Linked DNA regions of Arabidopsis thaliana. The protein of the gene in region 1 interacts with the protein of each later gene in a pairwise test. Each region holds a gene or a part of one and is shown in the gene's direction. Other genes may lie near its edges.

The links. Proteins that work in one complex are often made in the same cells at the same time.
Region 2: the proteins of AT5G50840 (region 1) and TRB2 interact in a two-hybrid assay, tested with the Arabidopsis thaliana proteins (one large-scale study listed by BioGRID).
Region 3: the proteins of AT5G50840 (region 1) and AT1G58070 interact in a two-hybrid assay, tested with the Arabidopsis thaliana proteins (one large-scale study listed by BioGRID).

What each region holds. Positions count from the first base shown.
Region 1 is NC_003076.8:20,682,547-20,691,122, forward strand, and holds AT5G50840 (alpha-taxilin-like protein), read left to right. Parts: upstream 1-3,271; 5' UTR 3,272-3,356; coding exon 3,357-3,648; intron 3,649-3,737; coding exon 3,738-3,805; intron 3,806-3,899; coding exon 3,900-4,011; intron 4,012-4,106; coding exon 4,107-4,174; intron 4,175-4,272; coding exon 4,273-4,350; intron 4,351-4,872; coding exon 4,873-4,937; intron 4,938-5,177; coding exon 5,178-5,244; intron 5,245-5,352; coding exon 5,353-5,535; intron 5,536-5,712; coding exon 5,713-5,769; intron 5,770-5,869; coding exon 5,870-5,965; intron 5,966-6,061; coding exon 6,062-6,193; 3' UTR 6,194-6,376; downstream 6,377-8,576. Other genes in the region: AT5G50830 (nuclear polyadenylated RNA-binding protein), read left to right, coding at 906-1,521, 1,694-1,761, 1,839-2,003; MAB1 (Transketolase family protein), read left to right, coding at 7,125-7,166, 7,288-7,350, 7,941-8,021, 8,108-8,134, 8,233-8,295, 8,400-8,486.
Region 2 is NC_003076.8:26,952,994-26,960,608, reverse strand, and holds TRB2 (Homeodomain-like/winged-helix DNA-binding family protein), read left to right. Parts: upstream 1-2,834; 5' UTR 2,835-3,085; intron 3,086-3,501; 5' UTR 3,502-3,535; coding exon 3,536-3,685; intron 3,686-3,762; coding exon 3,763-3,983; intron 3,984-4,067; coding exon 4,068-4,152; intron 4,153-4,225; coding exon 4,226-4,309; intron 4,310-4,406; coding exon 4,407-4,766; 3' UTR 4,767-5,041; downstream 5,042-7,615. Other genes in the region: WIH1 (cysteine-rich TM module stress tolerance protein), read left to right, coding at 383-428, 516-672, 810-855; FRO1 (NADH-ubiquinone oxidoreductase-like protein), read right to left, coding at 1,253-1,309, 1,617-1,646, 1,828-1,957, 2,142-2,230, 2,378-2,536; DG1 (Tetratricopeptide repeat (TPR)-like superfamily protein), read right to left, coding at 5,129-5,713, 5,786-6,193, 6,274-6,431, 6,522-6,615, 6,713-6,826, 6,938-7,129, 7,239-7,320, 7,413-7,604. UniProt on the Arabidopsis thaliana protein: Binds preferentially double-stranded telomeric repeats, but it can also bind to the single G-rich telomeric strand.
Region 3 is NC_003070.9:21,500,129-21,506,652, forward strand, and holds AT1G58070 (WEB family protein), read left to right. Parts: upstream 1-2,776; 5' UTR 2,777-2,839; coding exon 2,840-3,694; 3' UTR 3,695-3,950; downstream 3,951-6,524. Other genes in the region: AT1G58060 (RNA helicase family protein), read right to left, coding at 5-155, 647-700, 864-1,057, 1,138-1,243, 1,348-1,647; ATP-PRT1 (ATP phosphoribosyl transferase 1), read right to left, coding at 4,434-4,529, 4,713-4,832, 4,913-4,993, 5,069-5,182, 5,275-5,376, 5,558-5,641, 5,751-5,858, 5,939-6,004 and 2 more.

The sequences.
Region 1 (8,576 bases):
TAATTATAATTTTTTTAATATAGCTAAAGACCCTCTCCTTTTATATGCAATGGAGATGCTCCTTCATCATTAGTATATTTTGTTTTGAATTCAAGATTTCTAAATATAGAATTTCCTAAAATAAATACATGGTAAACTCGTGGGGGTTATTGACTTGATTTGATACAAAAAATGAGAGGATATAGTTGTGATCGCATTTGATTAATTTAGGCTGATGAGCAATATGTATGCAATATGCATGGATGGTGTAGAAGCGAAGACAACTATCACCATACTTAAGATTAAAATCACCACAATTTTAATATAATTTAACAATATGATTTTATGCATAATTAATTGGACTTAATTATTACTAAGACATTATCAGTTTGCAACCATCCAATTTCATGTAGAACAAGAAGTCTTTAGATTAACCCTCACAAAAGACTTTCCGTTTTTCGGGGTTTTTTCTTGACTAAACAAATAATCTTGGAGACATTAATGATGTTATGAGTCATGTGACCAATACAGTTATTTAGACATCAAAGTTATCTGCAAATTCATTAGAGACGAACGGTAATAGTCACACATGACAATAAGAATGAAGATGTCACTTAGATAAAAATTAAACCAACTCATGTATTTGCCTAAATAAATCACTATTTACCAAATTTAGCAAACAAATCGTAACTAACCAATCAACATCACACAATCTCAACCCTTTAATAATCTCACATTCTCTCGCTTCTTCTTCTCGGATTCCTAAATATTATCATTCATTCATCATCCTCCCAACTCATTGGCTCTCTTCTCTCCTCTCCTTTGCCTATTTTCTAAAATCTTCTCCGGCCACCCACCGGCCACCTTATGATCTTTTTGGTGGCGGCGATTACACCATCAATTTGTTAGTTTATTTATATATTAATATGGGTTGCGGTGGCTCGAGGCTTGGAGGTGTGGCGACGACAAGGGCGGAAGAAGGCGGGGTTGTGCCACTTCCAGCGGGAATACGTCCCCTTCTCCGGCGAAGGTTAGAGGAGATGAAGAAACGGAGCCATGCAGGCGTCTTGAAAGGGAGCCAGACGTTGTCTAAGAAAGAGCTTCTTAGGCATAACTCTTCCGAGGACGGAGAAGATACGGAGGAGAACGACGGTAGCTTGAAGGCGTCCGCTAAGGTTGCTCCGGCGCCTGATCATAATGTAGAAGAGAAGAAAGAGGTTATTTATGAAAAGATTCCATCCAAAGATGATGTTAAAGAGGTGAAGGAAGAAGTAGTTGTGAACAAACAAGAAGAGGACAATCATCATCAAGATGTTGTGGAGAAACAAGAGGAGGAAAATAAAGAGGTTGTGAAGAAGCAAGAGGAGGAAAATCATGATGATGATGTGGTCGTCATCAATGTTAAGAAGGAAGGAGATGATGGTAAGAATCATGATGTTGATGAAGGGAGTATCAACAACTTTGATGAGAGAATGATTGGTCCTGGATCTCCAAGCTTTAGGGTTTATTGCGTCGATGTTCCTTCTGATGATGATGATGAAGGTAAATCATATGTTCTTATACAAACACACATATATACATGTATAAATCATTTACTATTTGTATTTGTATATGGATGCATGCATTGTTAGAGACATATATATGTTTATATATGAAATGCTTGTTATATTATGTAGTTTCGTTATTGAAACAATTTATCCATTCACTATTGCAGAAAAAGATGTAGAAGACGCGAGAAAGTCGATGGAAACCGAAAGCGTCACGACAGAGATAAAAGAGGTGGTCAATCACATTAATTCACATTATTGATTATTTGATCTATGAGGATCTCTAACAATGATATATTTGTATTTCTATAGGACGGAAGCATTGTCAAAAAGGAGAAAAAAGAAAGAAGAGGAAAGAGGTTCGGAATCGCATTGCCGAGGAAGTATTTAGCAAATGTGACTGCGCCGTGCTATGCAGGTGGAGGATGCATGGGAAACACTCATTCTCGTTTGGTGCAAGAGAAATCGAGCCAGTGATCGATCAAAATATGTTTGCCATCTTTGCATTGACTGATTTGTTGAAGTAAGAATGGTGTGGTGTACGTACGGGATCACGATGAATAATCAAAACCACCTTACGATTTTAGACCTTTGATTTGTTTTAAGAGACGCTTGTTTCAGAATTTGTACAACCTCTTCTTCTTCACCTTTGCTTTCTTTGATCAGGATAATTAAGTTAGTGTTTGACGAATTTACTTTTTTCCACGTGGAAAGATGTAATTAATTGAACTTGTGCAATAAAAAAAGTGTTGTCTAAATGTCAAATTTATTGTTACATTAACCAATGAAAATAAAATTAGAGTAACATATAGGAAACTGCAATTATAGAAGAAAAAACACACTAAAAGGTGTAAGTAATTGAACTTTGTGAATTCCGTTTGTTTTCGGAATGCACAAGTGTTAGTCATAATAGGAAAGATAAAAATCTTAATTACAAATCCTAAAATACAATTTTTAATTTATTTTTTAGAGTTTATATTAATATGTCGTCAAAAACGGTATATTATTCAGAACAAAATTATCGTTGACCATTAGTTAATTAATAACCAAGTTCAAATTTGATAATTTGAAAGTTTATTTAGACAAAATTAATTAGTTGAAAGTTTTATCAATGATGGCCTCTTAAATTTTTAACTTTTTTTTGTTGAGTTTTATAAAAAAGAAAAAATGGTTTTCAAACTAAATTTGTTTATGATCATGTTTATCCGAGTTAAGCCCAATTTGAGATCTTTGTCAGTAATGACTAAGAGTACCTCCCGCATATAGAATTCATGTAGTTTCTAAAACATATATATATTTTTTTAACTTTTAAATATATATATTTTTTTAATTGTATGAGTTTCTACTAAAAAATTACTATTGAAGTTGGTCTAAGTTGCGAGACCAAATTTTTATATGCTTTCGGTTCGAATTGACATTTCTCTGTGTAAACGAAGCATCAATAAGAATTTATCAAACTTGAATGTAACACCATTTCTTTAGTTGATCATTTCCAAACATTTATTAATCAAATAAAATTGAATTTCAAAGTCACGTGATAATGATGATACTCAAATTTAAAAAACCAATAACACTTTATTTCAACATTTCTATGAAGAAATCAATTATTAACACTTAAAGTTATTAATTGAATAACAACGAACAACATTTAATTTAGTCAAAATTAGATTTTTTTTTTCTTTTTTTTGGTTTTATTGTTAAGATTTTATACCAAATAAAATTTTACAAACGAATCTAAAAGAAAGAACAAATTTAAACTTACCTATCAGAATTGTTGTAAGATATTTGGGTTTTCTTCGTATTAGGTTTCATCAGATCCAGACTCAAAAAATGGAGTCACCGCACTCGAATTTGCTCCCTGAAGTCGATTCTTTACCCGATGGATTCGTCGACGGCGCAACAGAGCCGCCTCTCAATTCTCCCAAGACCCAGGAAGAAACAACAAACCATGAAACTGTTGCGATCGAGAAAACAGAGAAGCCAAGAACTTTTCCGGTTCCGTTGTGTGAAACTGATGGTAATGAAGATGACGAAGTAGCTGACCTAATTCAAGAATCAATCAAGCTTGAGTTAGAGTTCGAGCAGAAAGAAAAAGAAGCTTCTCCTCCTATTTCTCAAACATGTGAGTGAAAATGTGAAGCTTAATTTCTTTATAGGAATTTGCTTCTTTTGTAACCTAAAGTTTGTTTCTTTGCTTTTTGTTTGAGTTAGTGTCAGAAGGGTCAACTCAAAATTCAACCTTGTCTAAGGAAATGGATTCACTCAAACCCAAAAAACAAGTCAGTATTTTGATGAGTTCTTCAATCTTGTTGCTTTGAGAAGAATATATGTTGAAGATGATGTATCTGATTTGTGTGCTGATGATATTGAAAGCAGGAGGTGGTTGAGAGCAAGCGTAAGGGTTCAAAGAATATGTTCAAATCAGAGAAAGAGTTTTTGGAATTTATGCTCAAGTATCAGCAAGTCCTTTCTGAAAGAGATTCTGGTAATAGGATATCAATAAAACCAAACTAGTTTTGTGTTACCTTCATCGTTTAATGCTTTATAGTCTGTACTCATCATTATTGTTTTTAACCGTAGCTATTACTGTTCGTGACAAGCTTGAATCACTTTGTAGAGAGTTACAACGTCAGAACAAAATGTTAATGGTTTGTTCTTTCTTTCTTCTTGCTTACTCTACTTGGTGTGTCTTGTTTTGAGGAACTAACCTTTTGGTGTGTAAACTAAATGTTCCTTTGTATAACAGGAAGAATGCAAGAGGGTTTCAACTGAGGGACAGACTTTAAGATCGGATTTATCGACAAAGTTCCAGGATGCTATAATGGTAAGTTGAACACATTTTTCTTTCGATGTGAATTCTTCCCAGGGTTTTGATCTTTGCTGAATATAGAAATTTGAGCCATTTTGCCGTCGGTATTGGCAGTTTTAGAGAGGAACAAGTATTGGATAATAGCTTTGTTTTGTGTTTCTAAGTATGCAAATCTTAAATGCACATCATTTATTGATCCTTGTTATATTTTCTTAGGATATTATCTCCTTTAATCTTCCGTGCTATATGCTTTGGACAGTCATGGCAATATCTTTTTCTTCTTTCTGAAACTCTCTACACTGACATTGGCAAATGTTAGTACCGATCTACACTAAAATTTAGTCCTTGGAAATAATTGGAACTAAACAAAGTAGAAAATTGTCCATATTGGTTTCAAGTTACAGATTGATAGAACTAAGTTTGATGAATTGCTTGCAGGCTTTTGCAACATCAAAAACTTACAAAAACAAAATCAGAATTTATTTGATTGATTTTTTTCTTATGCTCTCTACCTTCCTAATCCTCTTTTGTTTATAGGATGTGAGCATTAAGTTGGACGAGCAAAAGAATGAAAGCCTCACGCAACTCAAAGAAAATGAGATGTAAGCGGAAAGAACTCAATCATAACATGTTCATTTGGAGTAGGAAAATTATAGTATGTTTATTATATATGTATAGTTTTGTTGCAGTTTAAGTTAATACAGTATGAATATGCTCGCCCACATTCTGGAAACTATATTCTTACATGTGTATTGCTTTTAAAACGGCTTTGCTTGTATCAGCTCAGTAACATATTATAAAGGTCCATTCTAATTACAATGGGTTTGTTTCTTAATCTCCAGGTTAAGGACGAAGTTGAAGCACCTGGCTGATCAATTTATGCTTTCAGAACAACAACATGAGCAAAGGGTAATTAAATTATTCGTTTTTTCCAACTATATATGAAGCATGATTTAGCCAAAATAATTGGCTTAACTGCGATGTCTACTTGACAACATCTCATTTTCGAATGGACAGTTGAAGCAGAAAACACTTGAGCTACAGATCTCTGCTTTAAAAATTAAACAGCACGAGGAGAAACTCATCCATGAACAATCTCAGATGAAAGTTTACGCAGATCAAGTTTCTCAGCTTTTGTCTACTGAGAAAAATTTGCGGTTGCAGCTGACTTCTGATGGAGATAAATTCCAGCAGTTCCAGGTCTGCTCTCTTCCCCTTTTACACTTCCTAAATAAGTCTTAATCGTTTTCTCGATGCACTGTGATCACAGATAATAAGATTGCTTGCTTTGGGTGTGATACAATACTCTCTTAAGATATGTTTTTTACTGATATTATATGAAAAGACTGTAAAGTGAAAGGCTGTTTGGTTATGCAGGACGCGTTGGTTAAGAGCAATGAGGTGTTTGAAACATTCAAACAAGAAATCGATAAGGTAATAACAGTTTTATACCTTCGAGGTTCTTTGAAAGATCATAAGTGCTATTTATGTGATCTTATTAACTTGATCCTGTCTCTATTGGTTTTTTGAGTAGATGTCAAAAGCAATCAAAGAACTCAGAAAAGAAAACGCATTCTTGAAAAACAAAACTGAGAAGTCGGATATCACTCTCATAGAACTCGTCGAAGAGGTAAAACAAAACCGTCTGTTCTCTCACTATCTTTAAGGGTTTGTAGATTTTGGTTATGAAACCAGTAAAATCACACTTTTGGTTGACCTTGAACAGCGTGAAAGATTGAAGAAACTGTTGGAGAAGACAAAGAAACAGAAAGACAAGCTTGAATCACTTTGCAGATCCCTTCAAGCTGAAAGAAAACAGAAAGAAACTAACAGTACTGATTCTGCTGTTCAACCATGAAACAGAGAGAGACTATGAATTCAGTGTTTTGCTCTCTTTTTTTCTTTGTCAGAGTTTTGAACTAATTAGCACTTCAGATTACAAAACTACAATTAGACTCCAAATTCACTTTAAAATGTAGAAACATATCACATCATATTGATTCTGCTCTTTTGCGAGCTAAGTCCATTTTATCTCACAAAATGCAAATTGATAATAGTTAATTCAGCTGCAGCTTCTGCAAATCTCCAGGTTCACAAGAGAATGATTCTGCATTCACTAAGTTCACAACCGATTTGGAGAAGAATAGCTACTTCAACATCTGCCATAATGACCAGCTGATTCTTTGCAATCTTAAACCAAACCGAACCGAACCATTTGAACCGAAGAAAAGTTAAACCGATATGGATTATGATTCGGTTTGCATCTTTATGGATTCGGTTAGTTAAAAAAAGCGAATCTCTCTGAATTAAAATAAGTATAACGTCAAATTAAATTTGGTCACATCCACTTTCCTTTACAAACTTCAACAACATCAAATGGAATAATATAATATTGGAAAAGAAAAAGTATATAACGAAATGTCAACCATCGATCATGACCAGCAGATATTAATCGGACGGCTCCTGTACAATTCGATGAAGAAGACCTACTCTCTCATTTATTCAGCTAATTGAAATCATTTCGTTGTGTTTTAGAACAACAACAAAAAAACAGTGCCCTTTCGCTCACGCTTTGAGTCGTATCTGCTCTCTTCTTAATCCGCCGTCTCTCACTTTTTCGCCGGCGTGGTTAGATCGTACAAAGCTCAGGTAATCAAATCTATCTCCGATGTTGATCTACTCTGTTTCTCCGGATTTATGATTTCTCTATTCAATTTCCGATGATTGTTAGATCTACGGGGCTTTTGATCCTGCGATTACTGTTGCTTTTTGTTTGTTAATCAGAGAGAATGTTGGGAATCTTGAGGCAAAGAGCCATCGATGGAGCTTCGGTATGAGACTTTTTTACTCCTTTTATTTGTTTCAGTGCGATTACGATTTTGAGATTTTTACTTGGGAGATTTTTAGGTTCGGATTTTGTTTTCTGATTTTCGAAATTTGGTTTTTGATCAGACTCTTAGGAGGACGCGATTCGCATTGGTTTCTGCTAGGAGCTATGCAGCTGGTGCAAAAGAGGTAAAATGTCTTTTATTGAATTTTCGGATGGTTTAGAAGCGTTATTATACAGGTTTGGTTTTAATGAGCTATTGGAAGATAATTGTGGTCAATTTAGGATGATTAGAGCTGTTAATGTCTGCCAAACCACTTTTCTACTCTAAACTTTTTCTTTGGATGATAGCTTAATGTTGTCTTCTGCAAACTATGTCGATTACTTTTTTTTTTGTGTTCACCGAAATGTCGAGTTTAGCTATATTGGATGTTTTTTGATTTTGTAAACTGTGAGCATCCAAGAAGCGCAAGGGTCGATAATCATTGCATAGATGTTTAAGCCTATTAGCTTTCTCTCATTAGTTCTGACATTGAAAATGGTGGATTGATAGCTGACTCACATAAATAGTGTAGTGACATTTAGAATCCCAACAAGTGTAGCTTAAGTTAGATTTTAATTTACGTTTCGAGAACCCAATTTTTTTTTCATATAGTTGATAAAGCTGATACGGCCGTCAGTCTTTGTTAATATTTGTCAAACATATTTCTCCTTGTATGTGGAATTTCCCAAAATATTGTAATATTGCTTACAATTTTTTGTGCAAATCATTGTTTAGATGACAGTCAGAGATGCTCTAAATTCTGCAATTGATGAGGAAATGTCTGCTGATCCTAAAGTATTTGTCATGGGTGAAGAGGTTAGTTGCAGCTAACATGTTTGATAAATTCATCTTGCAATTTCTAATCAGATATCAATATCTCATCTTTTATCTTGTTATTGTAGGTTGGCCAATATCAAGGTGCCTACAAGGTTAGAATTATTTGACCTGATGGAAATAGATATTTTCCAGTTAAATTTCTCTTGTTTTGACCCTGATCTGATGCTGGAGGTCTATCATGTACTCATAGATCACTAAAGGCCTTTTGGAGAAATATGGTCCTGAGAGAGTTTACGATACCCCTATTACTGAGGTTTGGAATTCTTATACTATTATCTTGTACTGCAGTCTCAATCCTTATTTCCATGTTTCTTGATTGAGAAGATTTCTGACAGTTATCGTTTAACCATGTTTTAGGCTGGATTTACTGGAATTGGAGTTGGTGCTGCCTATGCTGGCTTAAAGCCCGTTGTAGAATTTATGACGTTTAACTTCTCTATGCAGGTTAGCGTTGGTTTTTGTTATATTCTTTGAATACTACATTTTGCCTCTTTCTTTGACTTGATTATGCATAATTGTTGCGTTACTCAGATC
Region 2 (7,615 bases), 6.3 Mb from region 1:
ACATATGATGCAGCATTTTGGAGTTAGAATTTAAAACAGTGTAAATTTATGATTACTAAGAACCCCTTTTCTGATATTTTTATTCCATAATTAATGATTCTAGTAGTAGAGTAGTTGAAATTAAATTCTTGTACGGTCAAGTTTCTAGCACATTAGAAGAAGATCACCTAATTTTCAAAGAAATTTAATCGTAATCTTTATGATGCAAGAAAGACTTTATTTAAAGAATATTTCCTTTATTTTCTGGTTCCTTTATTAAATTAAAAGTATATATCATTATTCCTCACCGGCATAGCTTCGTTATAAAGGAAAGGAACAGAGTTTGCTTTTAAACAAAGAGAGAAAGAAAAAAAAGCTCAAAGAACTCAGAAGAAGAAGAAAGATGTATCATCAAGAACAACATCCTGTCGGTGCTCCTCCTCCCCAAGGTATTATCTCTTTTTCTTTAGTTTTGGATAGTTGGTTTATCTTCTTCGATCTGCTTGTTTAATTTGCTCTTGAATTTCGGTTTAAAGGGTATCCACCTAAGGACGGTTATCCTCCGGCCGGTTATCCTCCAGCCGGTTATCCACCGCCAGGATATGCTCAGGGATACCCTGCACAAGGTTATCCTCCGCCGCAGTACTCTCAAGCTCCGCAGCAGAAGCAAAACGCCGGTATGCTTGAAGGATGGTACGTTCTTGATCCCATCTTTTCTACTTTATATTAACTTTATTTTGGTTTCTTGTTTTGCTTTGTATTTAGGTTTTAGTGGAATAATACTGTATTAGTTAATATATGTCTTTGCTCTGTTCATAAATACGTCACAGTTTGGCTGCGCTCTGTTGTTGCTGTCTCTTGGATGCATGTTTCTGATCGGAGGATAATTATATACGTTGCCTCAGTCAACTTTTATTTCCTCATATATGTTATGTAATGTTCAACAATCTTTCTTCTGTTGTTATCTTCTTTCAATTCGAATTTTGGTATCTTATGTTTTATTGACTCCGACCATAATTATCTCTCTCTTTCATAATCCAATCACACGAATTCGAAATAAACCAGTAAAGAAGTGATCAGAAATCTTGATGAAATATCAAAGGAGTGTGTTTCATCATCATCATCATATTATTGTAATAAGTAAACATAGCCATGGATAATGGTTCTTTTCAACCAAAAAGCTCACAGATGCTAAAATAACAAAGAAACATGAGAATTAATATCAAATGAGGTTTCTTCTTTTGCTCGAGAAGAATTGGAAGAAGGTGTAACATCAGTTTTCTGGTTGAGGATTGCCTTTCCACTTGAAGTTGTCCGAGTAAGACTTGACCTGCAGTTAGATGTTAGATGATGAACAATCATGGGGTTAGGTTAAAACTTCAATCTAAAGAATGTTCTACCAAATAAATCAAAGGAATGAAAGAGACTATCGCTCGTCAAACTAGTAGCTAAATCTTAAACTAGAGGCACCAAACCATTTCTGATGAAGCAATATGAGTTAAGTTAAAGAATATCCTATCTATTTAACACAACATTCAAGGGTCGTTCCAGTGAATCTCCAGCTTTAGGGTTAAACACCTCATATGAGTAGAGCTCGTAAGTCATAATGCGGCATTAGCAAAAAGATAGTTACTAACCTTCAATAATGGTGTGTTGGGCTTCTTGACCTGCAATGATTTAGATGTAAGTTTTTCAGTACTCTGAATTCTATATTAAGGGATCTTAAAACAGAACCATCACAATGGTGATCGAAAAAAAAAAAAAACAGAACCATCACATTCTCATAAAATGTGAGTGAATGCGACCAGAAAAAAAAATGAGCTAAAAACGAAGAAGGAAACAACGTACCTTATAATCCCAACCATGACGCTCAGCAAAAGACTTAGCAGCTTCTTCAGAATCAAAAGCAAGAGCAGAGTCACCAACATTAGCATAGGGGTCACCTGTAGAAGTCCATCCCATCAACGGATTCTCCCACCTAGAAACATATGAATGCCATAGATAAGTGATGTCAATCGAAATCTAATCAACAAGTGATGGACTAGTACTAGTCACAAGCAGAAGACTTAAGTTTTGAAAAGATAGGAATTTTAAGGATAAGAATCATATTAGGACATAAAATGTGAGGAAAAGAGGATTATCTTAATCAAAAAGTAGCATACTTTAAGGTGGAGACGAAGTTAATCTTCCATTTTCCGAGTTTTCCAGATCCTGACTGGGTAGCTGTTCTAGCAGGTGAGTATATTATCACCTGTTAATTTCCAAATTCAATACTCTTAGCACTATTCGATTGACCAAAATCAAATCAAGAACACGATGTAGCTCAATTAAGACGATTCTCTGATCACGAACCCTAATTTTCTAAACTGAATTCGTAAGAAATCGAATGCTTATTTACCTTGCGAGAAAGATGCTCCTCTGGGATTCCGGAGACCTTACCGATCTCACCACGCTTGTAATCCGACTCAACCACCGCGTCAGTAGCGAAAGGTCGAGCAACACGCCGGAGCGTCGCCGCTATACGGATAGTCCTTTGAGTAGTAGCACAAAGCGCCATCGTCAATTAGAGAAATCTGGAAAATTGCTGAGCTTTTTGATTTCGCTTTGGTTTCTTCTACTTCTGTAGATTTTAGAAAGAAAAAAAAAACACATATTTCAATCTAGCCATCAAAATTTTATAAATTACGCTTTCGGTCTTACTATTATATGAAAAATCTTTAATAGCCCCTAAACTATCTGTGAGATTTAACAACGATAAATTTTATAGATACATTATTTTTAAAAAATAGTACTAGTATATTTTATTCAGCTTGATCCTATTCATTTAGTTGGTAGGTTTTATTGTGTAATTTGATAAACTTGAGGCAAATTTGTGAATGTGGAGAAATATAGGGTTACATCTTCCTTAGCTTGAATACAAAAGAAAAGCTCAAGTTTGTTTCTCGTTTCTATGGATATTCTTCTTCCTTATGCTAGCCTCTCTGGTCTTCTTCTTCTTCGTTCGTTTCAGCGAATCACATTTGATCTATGACACATCTATACAAGGAATTAGCTTTCATCATCAAGTCTCTCTCTCGAAAACTCTCCTTTGGTTTCGTTTGATCTGGCATGCTTCTTCTCCTCCTTCCTCCTTTCTGCTTCCTTCTCTGAATTTTCCATTTTTGTTTTTAATTTTCTACGATCGCCCCATTTGAATTTGGTTGATAATTTAGCTATCGCTTTAGATTGATGGCTGTATTTCCAAATTCCTGTTGATTTGCGACGTTGTTAATGGGCTTTGATCCTCTTTTTTTGGTTCGAGATTGCTCGAATCACTCATTTTTTTGTTGAATTGAGCTTTGGGGCGTATCTAATTTCTTTGGATTTGTGTAGTTACATTTTTATGTTGTGGCTTTGTGTATCTGCTGGATTTAGATGACCAAAATTTTGTATTGGATAAGAAATGTTCAACAATGGCTTTGATGTGGTTAAGTTTCGTACGATTTAACAGATTCTAATGTTAGCGTTCACATCTATTGGCAGAGAAAAGAAGAAATTCAAATATTGATAACTGTGGATGGGTGCACCAAAGCAGAAGTGGACACCGGAAGAAGAAGCAGCTCTTAAAGCTGGAGTTCTTAAGCATGGGACTGGGAAGTGGCGTACCATACTCTCGGATACTGAGTTTAGTTTAATCCTTAAGTCTCGCTCTAATGTTGATCTTAAGGTAATACAATATAATATGCTTTTTGGAGGTTGTGATCGCGTGTTTCGGACTAATCTTGATAGTTCAAGGCATAACAGGACAAATGGAGAAATATAAGCGTGACAGCTTTATGGGGTTCAAGGAAGAAGGCTAAACTTGCGCTTAAGAGGACTCCACCAGGTACTAAACAGGATGATAACAACACAGCTCTTACCATTGTGGCTTTGACTAATGATGATGAACGTGCAAAACCAACTTCCCCCGGAGGTTCTGGTGGTGGATCACCACGCACTTGTGCTTCTAAGAGATCAATTACAAGGTTTGGTTCCCTGACTTATGCACCACATAACGATTTTCTTGAGTTCATAAAGATTTGATCTTGCGCTATTGTCTGTTTTTGTAGTTTGGATAAGATCATCTTTGAGGCAATTACCAACTTGAGGGAACTACGCGGTTCTGACAGAACATCAATCTTTCTGTATATAGAGGTATTTCTACCATTGGGATTACATGTTTGGTTGGGGTTTGTTGCATACTTACTTAGTAGCTGTTAAATTTCAGGAGAATTTCAAGACTCCACCGAATATGAAAAGGCATGTCGCAGTACGATTAAAGCATTTATCATCGAATGGAACATTAGTTAAGGTAAACACACAACTTTTGATTCAAGATTCATGATCACTAACACTTCATTACTCTCAGAATTTTCAAAAATACTTACTTGGTGATTTCTCACTTTCAGATAAAGCACAAGTACAGGTTTTCTTCTAATTTTATTCCCGCAGGTGCAAGACAGAAGGCTCCTCAACTCTTTCTGGAAGGAAACAACAAGAAAGACCCAACAAAACCCGAGGAGAACGGTGCCAACAGTCTCACTAAATTCCGAGTAGACGGTGAATTATATATGATAAAAGGCATGACAGCTCAAGAAGCTGCAGAGGCTGCAGCAAGAGCAGTTGCAGAGGCAGAATTTGCTATCACAGAGGCTGAACAAGCAGCAAAAGAGGCAGAAAGAGCAGAAGCAGAAGCTGAAGCTGCTCAGATATTTGCAAAGGCAGCCATGAAAGCTTTGAAGTTCAGGATCCGTAATCATCCTTGGTGAAACAGAAAGAAATAGCCATCATGGGGAAGTTCTGTAACAAAGCAAGCCATAAAATATATATACTTAGTGGGTTTACTGGTTTCTTAAGAGTGCCGATCTTGAATCAGGCGATATCTCATCACCTGCAGAGTTTTTTAAGTTTCCAAACCTATCTGCTCTCTTTTTTTGGTTAGTAACAGTGTAAATCCGCAGTTTGATCATATGTATGTTCTTTCTCCGAATCTGAGATTCTGTATAACTGATCTTTTATTGTATGTGGATGATCTGTTTAGTAACCTTGAAACTATTTTGAAGTGAGATGAGTAAGCAAAAAAATTGAGATTTTGTTCTACTAAAGATTTTGAGGAAATTTACAAGCATTTTCATTCTTTCTTACTACTCTCTTCCCATTCTTTCAGAATGTCATAAACTGAAAGTGAATCAGAGTCGCTAGATTCTTCATCATCATCAATCTCGAGTTCTTCTAGACCCAACGTTTCGAGTTCAGTCTCTGTAAATTCCCAAGCTTCACCATTAGCACTATTATCATCTTCCATTGTTGTATCTTGCAGAAGCAAATCTTCCTCCGGTTTTTCGCCCTGACTTTGAGTTGTTACATCTACGGCTAACAATGGTTGTGCTGAAGAAGAAGAAGACCCACATCGAGATTTCAATGACTTTGAGAGGTTTGAGACCGTTGGTTCACTTACATAATCACACTCAATGAGATGATCCGAGAGCTTATGAAGATTATCTTGAGTAAGCCAGTCTTGATGCTCCTCAAAAAGATCAGTCCATTCTTCTTCACTAATCTGGAAAGATGCGAGAGCCACAGTGTTAATCAGTGTGATAGCTCTTTGGAAATCGCCTTTAGCTGTGGCATGACACAACAGTTCAGTGAAGAACAATGGGTGAGGGATTTCTCCATCTTCAAGTACTGCATCGAAGGCATGCTCTAGAAGACTCCACTGCATTAACAAACAAAATTAGACAACAGCTTATGCTTCCATAAACACTTAAACTAGACAAAGATTTGTTACCTTCCCGGCTCTTGATGCTTCTATCAGCATTGATGCATGTTTTGTTTGATCCATTTGGTAACCAGAAAGAACCATCGTTTGATACACATGTTCAAAGTATTCCCATTGCAGTGATCTAGCTGAAGCTTCAAGCATGAAGCTGTATGTATACTCGTTTGGAACTAAATGAGTCTCTTTTCTGCTGACAATCTCTTCAAACAATTCTTTAGCTTCTGAAAACATATCATTCCTTCCGTAAACTTTAAGCATCATGTTCGCAGTTCCTATATTCGGATCACATTTATCTTTCATATATTGGAATATAGCCATGCAATCATCAACATGACCACCGTTCAATGAAGCGGCTATGAGTCCTGTGAAGGTAATCTCGAGCGGCCTGCAATTTTCAAGTCTTTTCATCCTCCCCACCTGCATTAATGAATTATGAAGAAAGTTAATTTTGTGGGTTTCTCTGAGAAGCAAAAAGGGTAAAGTAGGAGGGAACTTGCTTCGAGCATTGCATCGCACCAACGCCCGTTGTTGCACAGACAGCATGCCAATTCATAGTAAACTGAACCCGTTCCTATAACTCCCTTTTGTTCCATATCTCTGACTGCTTCAACAGCTTCTTCGATCTTGCCTTCTCTCCAGAGAGCTCGGACAAGAACTGAGAATCAATCATACGCTATAAGAATCATATCACCTTATAGATACCAAAATGAAGTAACCTAAATATACAGAGAGAATCAATATTTACCCTTGTATGTGATTGCTTTTGGAGCTTCGCCACTGCTTTTCATCTTCCTAAAAAAATCGTGAACACGATCAAACTTCCCTGACTCCAGCATAACCTGTCAAAATGACATCTTAAGACCACCCTACATATTTGAGGGTACCCACAAATACTACACCACAGCAGTTCGTTTATGTTGGAAAAAAGAACGCTACCTCCATCGCAAGCCCATATGTAGCTCCATTAGGCCTCAAACCATTTTTTCTTAACTCTACAAATACCCATGAAACAGCCTTCCATTGGAGTGTTGGAACACAAGCGTTAAGAATCTGGGAACCAGTGAAGCCAAGAATTGATCACACAGCAATAAGATACAGTGATTCGCTGCATAGTGCATATAGATATTAAACGAAGTTTAAAACTCGGAAATGCTCACTTACAGCGTTGTATACAACCAAGTCAGGTTCAAGCACAGGATCCCAGTTCTTTTGCCGCAAATTCTTAGTTAGTTTAGTCGGTTTCTGCCTCATACGCTCGATTACTTTAAGCAACTCCTTCAATAAACCCGCTTGCCCAAGTGTTACAGCAATACAGTGGTACGCCGCCATATCAGGATATAACTGGCGATCACCCTAAAGTGACTAAGGAATGAGAGTTAATCCAAAAAACGCAAGATGCTATAGTACAACGATCATCTACATCAACCATATCACGAACTGACTTAAATCAGAAGCCACTTACAAGCATCTGATTGAATATCTGAAGAGCTTCCTGTGGCCTCCTCGCAAACCCAAGAACGGACAAAAGCTTGGTGTAAACAAATCTGTAGAAACCAGTCTTGTATACAATCAGAAATCAAGTTTTACAGATTCTATGGCCATGAAAGTTGAAATCTTTTCGCCAGGAATACATTACCTGCTCCTAAGATGTTTACGCTTTTTATCAGAATACACCCAATGAACAACAGCTGAAGCTTGTTTCCAGCTCTGTTTACGTCCCAATCGATCAACGATCTTAAGCATCTGATCTTCAGTGAACTGAAGCCCTGATTGATTCATCATTCTCACAAACTTCCAATGCTTCTCATTGATTTCTCTACCACTCAATCTAAATCACAC
Region 3 (6,524 bases), on another chromosome or scaffold:
TAACCAAGATCAGATATCTCTTGCTTGAGCTTGCGAATGGCTAGGCCTGCTTGCTCCTGTCCTCTTTTATCACGCTTCTCCTTTGCTTTTATAGCATCTGATCTTGCCGAATAGTATTCTTTGGCAATCACATCGAATGGCCTTGGACCAGAGACCTAGTATGATTTTTGAAATCAAGATATCACAGCAGAGAGAGACATAAAACCAGGAAAACAAGACCAATATGGTATTGTACAACTAATTTGACTGAAGTTTGCAATTTCACATAATCATCATAAACAAATGAAGAAAAGTTCCACTTCTACCAAATGGGAAAGAAAATATATTGATAGCAGGTAGCCACAAAGACTCCAAAAATTGAACCAAATATCTTACTAAACCTCTGCCATAATGGATACGCTTAAGGTAATCCTTTTTTCAGAAAAAACAACAATTCATTAAACAAATTCAAGAGCTTCCAGATATTCATAGTTCTGTAAAGGTCTAAAAAACATGAGGAATATTTACCCTTGAGCAACATGCATGAAAGCTAATATACAAGGACATTGCAAAAGTGTAACCACATAAACATCCATCTTGGAACTGGTCTCACTAAGTAGTCTACCATATTCCATTTTGTTTCGATAATGGAAACAAGCTGAATTACCTTATTTCTGGGGTCAATACCATCTACTTCATCTTCCCAACATTCCAATTCTTCCTGCAAATTTAATTCAATGAGAAAATTCATCCATGAACTAAATTTTGCTTTGAATTGCGCTTCCGGATCATTTTTCTAACTCTGCTTAAGACGTTGTGGCTAGAACCAAAATGTATGAAGCTTTCACAAAGTGATTAATCATTAAAGCATTCTATATGAGTACCTCTTCCTGTCTCATCATATACTGCCGAATCCAATCAGCTTGAGATGACTTGTCAGAACTAAGAGTATCTTCTTCATCTTGCTTTCCCTTCACACGAACAAAAACTGCAGGTTCCTCTTCCTCTACCCTGACTGAAGAGTCAGTAGAATCATTCCAATCGTCCCGTGAGGTCGATATCACACCCACAGAACCTCCTACAACCCCAATAGGAAGGTACAGGCATCAATACACGAGAAGTACAATCATTTACGTGAAGGCAATGTTATGTACATACCTGTGGAAGGAAAACGAGAAGCTCCAGTAGAAAACTTCACAGGCAACTCATGACTCGGCAAATTCAAACAAAGCCAATCAAGTGCAGCCTCAAACGTAGCTCCATCCTTAAACACAAACATACACATTGTATCAGGAATAGCTTGAAGAAGCTAAACATTTTTCAAAATGAAATCGAAATTAAATTCAAACAAAGGCGAGAGAGTTATACTCTAAGAGAGGAGAGAGCGAGTTCAATCTGATCATCAACGAAACCTTCGCAAGAGAGCTTCTCATAGACATTATTGAGTTTCTTTGTCTTTTGAGCTTTGGAGAGAGAATTACTGATTGGAGCTGGAATCGAAGGACCGGAGCGGCCAGAGTTGAGTAAGAGCCGCCGCAAACGATCCTCGTTCTCCGCTGATATCTGAAGCTTAGGACCTGAAGAAGGTTTCTGATAATTCGATTTCGACGATGAAGAAGACGAAGCAGCTTTGTTGCTTTGCTTCTGAGGTTTCTTCTTCGGAGCCATTCTCTTCCGACTAGCCTCCTCTCGTCTCGTCCGATCAAAAAAACGGAACCTGAAAGTCGGAGAAGAATATTAAATTTTGGGCCTCATGAGCTTTATTCTTAAAGCCCAAATGTTGTTATTTGTTTATTTTCTCCCAAATATTGTTCCTCTTTGCCGACCAAAATCCAACCGAACTATCTTTTTATACCGAATTTTGAGAAACCGAATCCGAACCAAACTAATCAACCAAAATTCACTAAAAAGGTCAAAAACCCCAATGTATTTCTATAAAAAAAAATATAGAGAAAAAAAAATAAATATATTAACATGTATATAATAAGTTGTTGTTGTTGTTTTTTTTTCCCAAATCCGAAGCTGATATTCAGTTTTGAATAAACTCAGTTTTCAAAATTTAAAAACTAATCCAATGTTATTTAATCATGGATTTTTAAAACATTTCAAGTAATTTGTGTTAAAATATCAAATCCTCTGTTATTCAATCATTGATTTTAAAATTTCTAATGAAATCCAATATTTATTGAACTAGTGATTTGAAAATCTACTTTAAAATCTCATGTTATTGAAAACATTTTAAGGATTGGATTTTTAGTAATTTTAAGAGACTTTAGTGAATTTTAGTGGATTCCTTAGTTTAAATACAAAAATTTAAATCTCATAGTTTTGTTTTTTTGTAGGCAAATCTCATAGTTTTAAGTGGGATTTGAGAGGATTTTGATTTTATATTTGAGTTAATTTGGGTTTTATATGTTTTTTATATAACAAATTGTTGTTTTGTTGGAAACTTTCAGGTGGAGTTAGTTGAGGAGAGGCCTCTGTTTTTTTTATTGTCTTCTTTAGTCTCTTTGGTATTTTGGTTTGTCTTCTCTTGTTTGTGAGATTTTAAACATTGTCTACAAAATGACACTTTTTAAGTTTAAAATTATAATTGGTCATGCAGTTAGAAGTTTATACTTTTAACGAATACTGACGTTGTAAAGAGATTTGGACAAGACTTAAAACTGATTTAAGTAAACAAAAAGTAGTTGGCAAGTCAACTTTTAAGGGACTTGGTATGGTCTTGACTTCACCTTGACACAACAGTCATCTAGTCTCTGCCTATAATATGCTGTAAAAGCAAAGAAACCAAACCGATTCCACCCAACAAACCAGCAATACCAAATACAATACATTCTTCTCTATCTATAGTTCCTCCATGGATATAGAAGAGATGGAAGGAAATAATCAAGTGGAGGAACATCATGTCGACACTTCTCGTCCTTTTAGCTCTGTTAAAGAAGCTGTTGCCATATTTGGCCAACGGATTATGCTACCGGTACAAACTCATACCATGAACTCTAAATCGGCAAGTCCTATTGCTGCTAGTCGTAGCATCAACCAGAACGCTAAACCAAGAAGCCCTGGACTCAGCCAGACCGTTAAATTGGTAATTCCTACTGCTAGTCCTAGCATCAGCCAGACTGCTAAATTGGTAAGTCCTATTGCTAGTCCTAGCATAAGCCAGACCGCTTCTTCATCTTCTTCTCCATGGAAGCAACGCTCCTTGTTGCCCCCTTCTCCTCAAGGTCCAAAAGAAGAGATCATGGATGTGTTGAAGAAGCTTGAAGCCGAGATAACGGAAACAAAGACAGAGGTGAAGATGTTGAAGGAGAGAGAATCAGAGACAGAGGTTGCTTTGGCTACTTTAAACGCAGAGCTACATAAGAACAAGTCAAAGATAGCGAAAGCCGAAGCTGATGCTGCAGGGAAGAGCGCGGCAGCCATGACGAAATCAGTTAGCTTCAAGGACACAAAAGAGAAGGAAAATGGAGAGGACCAGAGGAGGAAAGAGCTGATGAGGAAGATGCAGAAGGAGTATCCTTCATTGGCTCAGATACTTGACAGTAACAAAGGAAACAGAGATGGGTATTTTGCGAACACTAAGAAGACGAAGAAGAAGAAGAAACCTATCATTCCTCTTGTGGGAGATTTCTTCTTCTTCAAGAAGAAAGGTTCTTCGCCTGAAATATCTGGACCTCTTTACACTACCTCTTCCACCCTGCACTTTTAACTGATATACCCAAGATCATGTACCCTGCAAGTGTATATATATGTATATGTATGTATGCACATCAATATTCGTAATATCTATGTATGTATGTGTTTTCGTGTGAGTGTGTTTGTGTGTGAGCGTATTCTTTATTTGTTTGTCTCTTTCTCTCTTTGTTTGGATTTTGAGTCCAAACCATCAGCGTGTGTTCCCCCTCTACTGTAACAATTACCTGTCAACTATCAGATTGTGAATATACAATGTTACTCTACTATTAGCACTGATTAGATACACAATCCAAAGATTAACTTCTATATTCGTAGACAAAGATAAAGTGTGTGATTATACAAAGTTAGGAAGTCAGTACGAAAAAGGCCAAGTGAGCATACCTTTCTAGAGACAGGTAACTCGCAACACCGAGCCCGTGTGAGCAAAAGGAATTGGTTTCTGGAACCAAAACCCCCGCCAGGTTAGCAAAAACACAGAACAACAAGTGATAACTATTAACAAATGAGTTCTGCAAAGATGTATTATTAAAAAAAGGCTTGTTTTTATTGTTCCAACGGGATTAACAACAACGAATAGGATCCATACAGAAAAGAGATGTAAAAATTACAACAGCACGGAGGACGACGACTGCAGCAGAAAAGGGAAAGAAAAAAAAAAAAGAGACACGCAAAGGTACCAAAAAACTCAGAGATTTACACCAAAGAGTCTTCTTAAAACTTGTTCAGCATATGCATCTTCCTTACCAAAGCATTTAAATCCCGAGGTTTCTCAGGAGCTGACCCCATCTTGGAGTATCCTCATCAAAAATGTAGGTCAAAGGTGAAACTAATACCCCACTGCCTCCGGCCTGCAATAACATTTATGAAAATGACCAAACCAAAAGAGGGAACGATAAACACAGATTTATGTGGAACGTGGTTGGTGCAAAAGTAGAAAGAGGATCAATAAGTTTTAAAGATCGGGTGGGAGTAAGATAATTGAGAAAAAAATGGCAGGGATTACTAAGAGAGAAATGGCAGGGATTACTAACCGCTCTAAGTTGCTTCACAGAGTCGTATAGGGCCTTTTTTGGTACACAAATCACGATGGCATAGTAGTCAACCGATACTTTTCCATTTTGTGTACAGTACACTGGGCTTATTGTCGGTCCCTGCTTGTTATAGACCCCATAAACAATCAGCAAGAACTAAAAAGCTAAGGCTTAAGAACTCCCACATTCTGAAACATTACCTGCAATCCTGACAATGATGGTTGGCTCAGCACACGCTCAGCCACTTCCTGAGCACTATTTCCTCTCATGTTTGCAACAACCTGAAATGAAATTATTAGAGAAAAGAAAGCGAAAGGGGTGAATAAGGAAAACACATCATGGAACCAAGTGCGTACAGTGAATTGGCCATCCGCCTTTAGATGGGCCTCCAATCTCTCAAGAATCTCGTGTACTGTGTTTAGTGCCCCTTTTCTCTCGTTTAATGCTCTTCTACTTGCCACAAGTGCCGCCTGAAATTACAAAGAAAAAAAAAATGTTCAGGAATGATGGCCGCCAACAGATTCTAAACAGACAGTTCATGGATCCAAGAACTTCACATCACCTGGCTTTCCAGCACAACACCTCCTTCAATTTCTTTCAAGTTGTTCTCTTTGAGTGTTATACCACTACTCACAAGATCCAAAATGGCATCAGCTATCCCCATCTAATTAACAAGCACATATGAGTCAACAGATTATGCTGGTAAGGCACAGTAAGATATGAAATCAGGACACTACAAGCTGACAACATTATCCTCCACAGAGCATATCAGTTTAACACTTGTTTTTAGAAAAGAATACAAGCAACTTAATGCCAAATGTTAAGCTTTTCGTTGAAAATCTCACCGCTGGAGCTGCCTCCAGTGCTCCGTCTGCAGTTGAAAACACCACATGCTTTATGCCATTTTCTTTCATAAATTTGGGGCCGAGCTGCAAAAACCAGTTGAATCATTCCCAAATATTATGTTGAAGCGAAATGGACTCTGAGAGAAATTAGATGACAACAGCGCACCAAAGAAGAATCTGTAACTCATCATACATAAGTGAAGCCAGTAGCTAAGCGTAAGGGTCTCTCTTCACTCCATTGGGGCATTTGCGCTAGCTCCTTCAGAGAATTTATATTCTCAAATATCCCATAGTTTGGAATCTGTGACCATTTGAGATACAATCAGAAAACCATCCACGGTAATGACCTGAGGACCTTAACCACAATAGATTAAAGCATACCGCAATAGACAGGTGACAGTCTCCAAAGTTGAGAGCTTCATGGACAATGATAAGATCTTCATTTTCCTAGAAAGAAAATTCAAACATCTAAATTATGATGCAAGGGGGCTTATCAGAGACAATCAAAGGGAAACTTTAAATTTTAAACACTATACGCTAAAGCAACAATATGGCATACTAATGATGAGAGAATAAAAGTAAACTGGTTCCAGCATAATGATAATGATAAAAATCACCACTGCTAATTCCAGCATCCTGAACATGATATCAAAGCTCTTCAAAAGAATATTTTTATGATCATCACTTACCTGACCATATTCACTAAGTGTGTCAAGACCAACGATACCTAGATCCAAATCTCCTGAGAGTAACTTTCTGACAATATCTTTTGGCCGTTGAAACCAGACTTCAGTGTTTGGTAACTGAAGGACATACAAAAATACCAACATAAGTCATGGTACACAAAACCACAAAACACACTATGGTTTTGAATTCGCTTGGAAACGATACCTGGGGAATCTGTGCAACATATTGCCTAGGATTGACTTGTTTAACAAACAGTTGACAGTCCTTCATAAAAGAAACC